Linked DNA regions of Sus scrofa. The protein of the gene in region 2 binds, or shares a complex with, the protein of the main gene of each other region. Links are inferred from orthologs where the notes say so. Each region holds a gene or a part of one and is shown on either strand. Other genes may lie near its edges.

The links. The genes of interacting proteins can lie anywhere in the genome.
Region 1: POLR2K (region 2) and GTF2A1 share a complex: the UniProt entries of both Homo sapiens proteins name them as parts of the TBP-based Pol II pre-initiation complex. The link is inferred for Sus scrofa from reciprocal best matches to the Homo sapiens genes POLR2K and GTF2A1.

Annotation. Positions count from the first base shown.
Region 1 is NC_010449.5:104,006,390-104,010,927, reverse strand, and holds the start of GTF2A1 (transcription initiation factor IIA subunit 1), read left to right. Parts: upstream 1-1,609; 5' UTR 1,610-2,056; coding exon 2,057-2,086; intron 2,087-3,028; exon of another isoform or gene 3,029-3,115; intron 3,116-4,538. UniProt on the Homo sapiens protein: TFIIA is a component of the transcription machinery of RNA polymerase II and plays an important role in transcriptional activation. TFIIA in a complex with TBP mediates transcriptional activity.
Region 2 is NC_010446.5:36,849,741-36,854,148, forward strand, and holds the start of POLR2K (DNA-directed RNA polymerases I, II, and III subunit RPABC4), read right to left. Parts: upstream 2,883-4,408; 5' UTR 2,742-2,882; intron 1,541-2,741; 5' UTR 1,533-1,540; coding exon 1,472-1,532; intron 1,162-1,471; coding exon 1,069-1,161; intron 177-1,068; coding exon 154-176; 3' UTR 1-153. UniProt on the Homo sapiens protein: DNA-dependent RNA polymerase catalyzes the transcription of DNA into RNA using the four ribonucleoside triphosphates as substrates.

The DNA of each region.
Region 1 (4,538 bases), on a different chromosome or scaffold from region 2:
CTGTCCTTATTCTCTTTAGGAATATTTCTGAGGGAAGTAAATCTCATATATTCTACCCCATGTCCTGTTTGCAGTGATCCTAGTTTTAACTGATGTCAAAACACTTGATCAATTTAGTTAAGAATACTAAGTGATAGGGAAGAAAAAGAGGTGAAAGGTGAGGGATTCCATGTACAAACAGTACTACTTAAATAAGGAGGTAAAAAGTCCTCTTAAAATGGTAAGAAATTAAAGACATGGGTTAATTTAACTTTTCGGGCCAATGGTCACTTGAATATTACATGAATTACAAATGGTGATGGAATCATAATTTTATATAATAGTATAGGACAATATGATTTCCTATGGTCTTATCTCTTTCAGTGTTCCCAAAGAGGCCACTGTGCAGGGAACTGAAAAGCAACTGATCTTTCTCAAATCTTCTTTCAGGAGCATAAGTTTGACATTTTGTTTTGCTTTGCTTTTTGAGGATCAACTCCCTCACTTGTCCAGACTGCATTCCATGTCACTCGCAATTCCTAGGGACAAGAAAATTAGGAACTGTTGAGTTCTGTCTTCTAAACAGAGTATTCCGTTTTGCGTGAAATGCTGATATAAAGGCGGGATTAGCTTGGGCAGAGCAGGTCAAACGCCTACTGAGTTGCCCTTGAATACATGGCCATTTTCTACCTGCTCTCTTGCAGCCATGAGAGTTGATGGGTCAAGGGCAAGTATTCAAGATGTTAGCACGTGCTGAACATATGGAATCACTGAATTTTTGCAACATTTAAAAAAAAAAAAAACCAGGAAAAGTTGTGCGGTCATAATCCAGGTGGTGACCTTTTTTGGGGGGTTAGTTTTAACATTTCTACCACCTTGAGAAGTTATTTGAAGTAAGTGGGCTTGGAGAGGCCGGGACTCTGGGGAACGGAAATTTAAAGAGACTTTGTAGTTGTACTGATGGAGACAGACAACTCTGCTGGCTTCAGGGATTATTAATTGTGGAATGTAATAATATGTAATAATTGTTGAATGTAGTAAGAGGGGAACCAAATCAGTTCCCTTTCAGGAACTCATACACAATTTTGCAAGCGAAAGGCCCACCCTCAGCAAGGCGTGCTAACGCTTCAGCAACTAGGAGTCTGACCTTAGCTCACGCTCGGAGATGACTCCGCACTTAAAACTTTTGCCGGAAGCCGGGCCACGTGACCCGCCCTTTTCCACAGCCATGCCTAGCGGGGCAGCCGCCAGAGCTCCTACATTTCCTAGCCCCTCCAGCGTGGGACAGCTCAGAATCTCCCGACAGGAGGCGGAATCAGCTAGGTTTCGACTCGAGCGTCGCCACAACTCACGCTTTTCTCCAACAGAGCTTTGCAAGTTCTTCATCCCAAAACAGCAGCCGGAGACTTCCGCCTGGTTGCCGACCACGTGATCACGCGACATTTGGGGAGACCGCGGTCGGACTTCCCTACTTAAGTCCCCGGGTCCCGCCCACACAACACCCTCCCCTGAGCGTGACGACGCGGCTCGCGGCGGCCTCCGCCCCGGCGCGCCTGCGCACGCGGCTCTCGCGGTGTCTTGCGCTCAGCCCCGCCCACCTCTGCCCCCGCCCTTTCCGCCCCTCCCTCCCCCTCCGCCCTGTCTCTCGGCGGCAGCGGCGGCAGCGGCGGCTCGCGCAGCTCGTTGGCTCACTATATAAAGGGAGAAGCGGGCGGACCGGACGGCTGGAGCTGCAGCCGGTGGCGGCAGCGGCGGCGCGGGGAGCGGCGACCAGTGGTGGTTTCCCTCCTTGGCGCGGGGTGGGGAGCGGGCAACGCCCCCCAAACCCCAGAAGGGTCGTGCCCTTTTTTTTTTTAAGGGCGATCCTCGAGTTTTTAGCTCCGGGAGGACTGCCCCCTCCTCTTCCTCCCCTCGCCGATCCCCTCTAATCCAGCAGGATCCGATTTTGTTTAAAATTCCCCCCCCAATTTTGCGGTGGCTTGGGTCACCCTCTGGGTGTTTTTTTTTTTTTTTTTCGTTTTGTTTTTATCTTGTTTTCTCGGGGCTTGCCCCCCTCTTGTTTGTGTTGTGTGTGGAAATGGCGAACTCGGCAAATACAAACACCGTGGTAAGGACGTGGTTCGGTGGCCGGCGGGGGCTTCGTTCAGGCGGCAGCAACGGCCGGACCGGGCGGGGGCGGGGACGGCGGCGACTCCCGGCCTCAACTCTCAGCTGCCCGCGCGGCTGCCGCCGCTGCCGCCGCCGCTTCCCGCCTCGGGCGGAGCGGGCCGGGGCGCGGGGCGGCGGGCGCGGGGGGGTGCCGAGGGCTCGGGGCCGCGGCGGCAGGGAGGGCGGGGGTGCCGGCGGGGCCTGGAACTGCCGCGGGGCGGTCCGGGCCGCTGAGGCGGTTGAGGCCGGGATGAGCGCGCGGCCCTGGCCCCAGACCCCATCCGCCAGGAGGGAGGGCGGGAGGGGAGCCTCCGCTTCCTCCCCGAAGCGGGTCCTGCCGCGCTGGCTGGAGAAGGGCTCTCCGAGCAGCCTCAAAACAAAAACCGTGTCTTGGGAACTGGGCGAATCCCCAAGACCCACCGCGATCCACTTTAACGCAGTGGAAGGCTAATGGCTACTTGGGGGTTACTTTGGGTGTTGTGGCGGGTTGTGCTTAGGAGGCTTCACTGGGGCCATTTTACGTTTAAGAAAAAAAAAAAAAAAAAAGGACGAAGGTTGAAAAGCACTTATCTCGGTTCCTTCCGAATCGGTAAAATGGCGAAGGGGAAGCAACCCCCCCCATCGTATCTTCGACTAGCAAAAACACCAAAACAAACAAAGCTTACAGTGGTCAAAGTGCCCCCACTTTCGCCTCGAAATTTGCCTACTTCTCACCGTTTGTCCCTTTTTTCTTACTTGCGATCACGTAGGTTTGCAAAAAGCAGTCACATAAATAACCTTTTCAGTCACCAACGCAATGTGATCACTAGTCCACCCCACTCTCTTATTTTTATTGTGACAATAAAACACGTTTTTGCCCGGTCCCAAATGCAGACAAGCCCGCGGCCGCCCGACTCCGTACCGTTGACGACTCGGGTCGATCCATCATGGCTGCGGCCGCTTACCCTGCCTTTCAGTCCCTGAGCCTTGTGGTCCTCCTCCCTTTGGCTGCCCTGTTTATATAGAGCCATTGCCGCTCTCTAATATAGACTCTGCCAGGATGGGAAGGTGCTTTTCAGGCCTACGTCACCGCCTCTCCATTTAAACACCAGATCCGGCTTTAAATAGTGAGAGCTGCTGAGAGCGGGGCTGGGAGGTGCGTGCTCTCGAGGCGAGAGGCAGGCGTGTGTAGAGCTCAATTTATTTCCAAGTCCTTTCGTACTCTAATTTCATACCCAATCGGGGCTGCTTTAGGAGCCCTAAGTTTTTGTTTTGATGCAGCAGCTGGGACTTAACCTTTGTTAGGGGAAAATAGAATTGCTGTCCCTTTTTATTTTGTGTTTTGTTTTTAAAGAGAATTTTAGCTTAGATGTCTTAATTGTTCCTGTATTGAGAAGATGCATGCATTATTTTTTTTTGTTTTTTGTTTGTTTTTGAAAAGCTTTAGGCATTACCTGTTAGCTGTAGAGGATTTGATTTTGGTAGTGCTTTGTTTATCAAGTATTCAGGGAATGTTAGACTATAGCTCGTAATACTTCATTATTTTTCCTATAATAAATATTTGAGACACGAAGCTTTTCAAAGTAGATAAGTATCTAAAGCTTTGACATAGGACCTCCTGTCAACAATACGTGTATGTATGGGATATTATGAATAATGTGAGAAGGCTTAGTGCAAACTGGGTATTCAAAAATTAAAATTCTAAGTAGACGGTATTTTCATTTATTTGCATGGTAATATGGTATCCAATATAGATATTAATCCAGTTTATTTTCCAATATTGTACTAGAGTCTCAAACTTTTGAAGAAACCCTTTAATCATTAGCTTATGCCACTGATGGCCCTTTAATTAAAGTTTCAAAGTTTGGACTATCTTGTTTTTGAAAAACAGGACAAACCTAGATTACTATGTATTTCATAAAAGACAAAAACTTTGGCTCAAGTAAAATAAAGTTTAGCATTTTAAATGAACTTGCTTAGTTCACATAGTGCCTATGTATTCACATATTTTTAATAACATCAGTATTTTGGACACTTTTTAAATTAATGAGCAATCCTGAATTACTCTTTATGCGTATACTTCTGAAGAATACACATTTCCCTTCCTTCAGCTGTAGTGCATGTGAATCTCTGTGGTCACTTTGCAAGTTAATTAAAGCACCTAGGCAAACTCTTAAAGTAAGATTGATTCATTAAGTAGGGAGTTCCAGAGGAAAGCACATTGTACCTATAAATGTGTGGATCACCAAGCAGATATTTTTAGGGGTGACTGACTTCAGAAACACTAAAACAGCATCTAGTTTGCTGAAAAAATAATTTATATCATCAATATAAGATTTATACTACTAATTTAAAATTATACTGGGGCTTTATAATGCCTTGGTTTAAATATATATATATATATATTTTTGTAATTCAGTAGTTGAATTACC
Region 2 (4,408 bases):
ACCTTTATATTAAACTATTAATAGACCCCTAAATACAATATGGTTTTTAAAATGAAATCATGATACACAGCTGTATTCTTAAAGTACACAAATCAAAAGCTATACAACATCAACAGCAAATCCAAATGAAGATATTCCTCTGAATTTCACGTTTCATCGAGCATCAAAAACCACCACTGTATTAAACTGAGTTAAGGAAAAGAAAAGTAATTAAAGATTTCATTAAAAATTTAGCTCTTCCAAGTCACTTTCTCTTTGTGACATCAATTTAAAATACACAAAAGAATGAAATTCACTATTTACTATGATAATTAGAAATGAACTAAAAATAAACTAGTTAATTATTAGTCCCCTTTTCATGATACAAAAGACCAATACACCAAAAAATACTTAAGTGATGGTAAAGGTAAAAATTTAGCAATCTAAAAAATACTGTTAGTTACTACATAACAATTTACTTTCTACTAATTTGTAAGCCTCACTTTCTCCACTAGGTAATATACGTCTCAATATTTTTATTTCTCCCTGTATAATTAGTGTGTCCATGAACTAAAGCTCAAGAATGAGTACTTAAATATAGAATCCAAGAAAGATACACTTATGAAAACCAAAATTAACTAGTATTTAGATTATTTAGTATATGCCTATGTACCGGCATATTGGTCCATAACAATGCTAATCAAGCTTTTTTTTCCCCTGCCTTTTTAGGGCCGCACATGCAGCATATGGAAAGTCCCAGGCTAGGAGTCGAATGGGGGCTGTAGCTGCCGGCCTACATACATACCAGCCTCAGCAACTCAGGATCCCAGTAGCATCTTCGACCTACACCATAGCTCATGGCAATGCCAGATCCTTAACACACTGAGCAGGGCCAAGGATCAAACCTGCGTCCCTATGGATGCCAGTCAGATTCGTGTCCGCTGAGCCACGATGGCAACTCCATGCTTATTTTTTCACTAAGTAATCCAAGTTTTACCATTTTTTAACAGCTAGTCTTTGACTATCAACCCAAGCATTATTCTCCACTTCCTCCTACCTCATATTTAGAAAACACAGTTAAAAGGATACATCTTTTAGTTCTTTTCTTGTACATTATTCTGTACCCACATTCTCTGCATCGGATGGGATCCCTTGATTTTATTTCATTTTCTGTGTGACATTCTAAAAGAGAAAACATATTTATTCAATGCCTAAAAGAGAAATAAGAGGCAAGCAAATTATCTTAATTATACTTTTCCCCCAAAGCACTAAAATATGTATACTAAATCTCAACATTATCAACATATTAAGGGAAAAGAAAGAAAAGAGTGGTGGGCAACGCACTTTTTCTAGGAGAGAAAATGAAATCTTAAAATAGTTGCTAAAGCGCTAACTTCAAAGAGGAAGGACTCAAGTAAAATAAAGATAAATGCACTATCTTTTTAAAAAACTGAGGTAAAATACTTTTATTTTATGTAAGTGCCACTCTTACCTCCACAGATATATATCATTGGCTGCTGTTTTGGGGGTTGAACGTCCTTCTGTGTGTCCATCGTTATCCCTGAAATCACAGATTCAAATACTGAACATCTTAAAGGGGCCCCTCACAAATCCAATCATGCCTTATTTTTCTCAGGGAAAGCTAAAAAGCTAAAAAGTTCCCAATTCCTAATCCGTACTTTTTAAAAATCCTACCGCTGGTTCTAAAGAATGAATCAAACCCACAAATAAGCATTTTGCATTTACCCCCAAACTGGACTCCATAAACACTTTACAGATTTCATATTTACACATGCTATTTCATTATAATCTCTACAACAATTCTAGGCGGTTAAATAATTACTCTTAATGAACAGATCAAGAAACTAAGATTTAGGGAAGGTTAATTTGGTCAGGATTATTCAGTAGTTAAAAGGCAGAGGAATTTAGATCTGACTGCGAAGCTCTGGTTTTCATTTAACACGAGTACAAGTACTATTTTTCTTTTTCTTTCTTTTTCTTTTTTTTTGTCTTTTTGCTATTTCTTTGGGCCGCTCCCACGGCATATGGAGGTTCCCAGGCTAGGGGTCGAATAGGAGCTGTTGCCACTGGCCTACGCCAGAACCACAGCAACGTGGGATCCGAGCCGCGTCTGCAGCCTACACCACAGCTCACGGCAACGCCGGATCATTAACCCTGCCCTGAGCCAAGGGCAGGGACCGAACCCGCAACCTCATGGTTCCTAGTCGGATTCGTTAACCACTGCGCCACGACGGGAACTCCAATTTTTCTTTTTCTTTCTCTCTCTCTCTTTTTTTTTTTTCCACCCGCGGCATGTGGAAGTTCCAGGCTAGGGGGTCCAATAGGCCTGACAGCCACAGCAACGCGGGATCCGAGCCCCGTCTGCTATCTATACCACAGCTCAAGGCAACGCTGGGTCGTTAACCCACAGAGCGAGGCCAGGGATGGAATCCGCATCCTCAAGGATACTCATCTGATTCAGTTCCGCTGCGCCACAAGGGGAACTCCCACAAGTGAAATTTTCCCAAAATTTAGCAAGAAATTGCCAAAAAACTATACCCCTCAACAGGAAAACATGCGAACCGAAGAAAAGGGAAAAATAATGAAATAACTCCTAACAGCTGAAAAGGCAGACAACCCAACAGCTAAACAAGCCAAAGGGCTAACAGCATCGACTCCATCCCCAGCCTCTCTCGACTCTAATCCCACACCGGACCTCCTGTAACCCCTAGTATCTTTCCAGTTTTGGCCCAAACACTCACCTTCCAATCCCAAACCGCCAATCCGCCAAACCCCTACCCACGGAACACGGAGAAACTTCCCGAGGCTCCCTAACAGATTCCTGAGGCCGCTGTGTGTCAGCCCACTTCCGGCACTGGCAGATGACGCAGGATGTAGTCTCCGCCCCTTCCGCCCAAGGAGTGGCCGAAGAACCCGGATTGAGCGCGGGCAGTTAAATTGGAATTATGTATGTTTGATTCGCTCTGTAGAGGTTCTTATTTGGCTCCCAACTATTTTCATTTTTCGGGGAGGCAAAGAATTTTAGCAGTTTCTCAGGTCGAAGGAGGTTTGTTTCTATGACAAATGAAGGCCGCAGAAAGTAACAGTTTTCCAAGAGGTCAGAGCGTTAGATACCCAAGTGAAGTGCTCATGGAATCCCTGGGCTGACCGTTACTCCAAAGAACGTGGAAGTATCGGTTTCACCGCTGATTTCCACGTAGAAGAGCAGTTTTCAGATTATGGATTTCAGATCGTTTTAATACCTGTGCCGCCGGCAGTGGAACAGCCGCCTCCTGCCCTTTGCATAATGTTTGCTTTTCGACCCTTTCTCACTTAGGTACCTGTCATCCTTCTCAGCCTCTCCTTTTACTCGTTTTAAAGCACAGGCGGACTTGCAGGCAGCTACATCCAACTACTGCCACTTAAAGCTGAGGGATTTAGGTAGTGGTGGCTGTTTACCGACCCTCCTTTGGTCCCATGTATTCTCTAGAAGAACAAAACGACCTGCTCAGTGGAATCCTTTCAAAGATCAAACTATTAGTGAGACATTATCGTTGGATGTACACATTTACATTCGTTTGCTTCTTTCATAGCAGGCATTTTACTAATATCAGAATGAGAGGAAGAAAATGAAGTTGTTACAATTTAGAAAATACATATTCGTTATCTATTACAGTTAATTGGAGAAGCAGGTTTCTTTCTTCCCAACATGCATTATTTTGGTTTCTTATTAAGCAGGCAATACTGCTCTCTGGTCTTCCATACGGAAACTTGGGAACTTTGAGCTTCGCATTACACTTCCAGGAGGAGTTCCAACTGCCGGCACCTCCACAGACCAACTTGAGAGATTTAACTCAATCTTCCCAGTCTTCTTAGCTCCCTGTTGTAAAAATTTCAGGAAACACAGTGGAGTGTCCTGCTTCTTCCTCCACAGACAGGCTAAGACAGAACATACAAGTATTTTGACCATCTTAAAAAATATCTCTCCTGTCAGCCAAAGGGAAGAGGTAACCCAAAAGAAGAATCAAAATAAGCTTTGCTCCAAGAAGTATTAGATAAAACCATTGTTATCATAAGAGAAAGATTATGGAGTGATCCAAAAAGTATAACTTTAATCATTGCAAGCTGACCTGGATTCCAACTCTCAAGCTTGAGATTTCAAGAAGATGCTGGCACTTAATGCAGTCTATGGAGATCAGGAGGAATTAACACATGCAGAATACAAACGGCTCCTGGGACCCTACAGAGGGGTAGAGTAAAGACAAGTTGTAGCAAGGAGATCCAGAATTTCAACAAGAGTTCATGTTGGGGCTAGATCCCAATCCAACACTCTTGTTCCTATGAGTAGGAACAGTAATTTTAGCATCATGTGGAGCATGGTCAGTGGAAGCTATTATCAGTGATGACAACTAACATTTCTTGAGTGCCT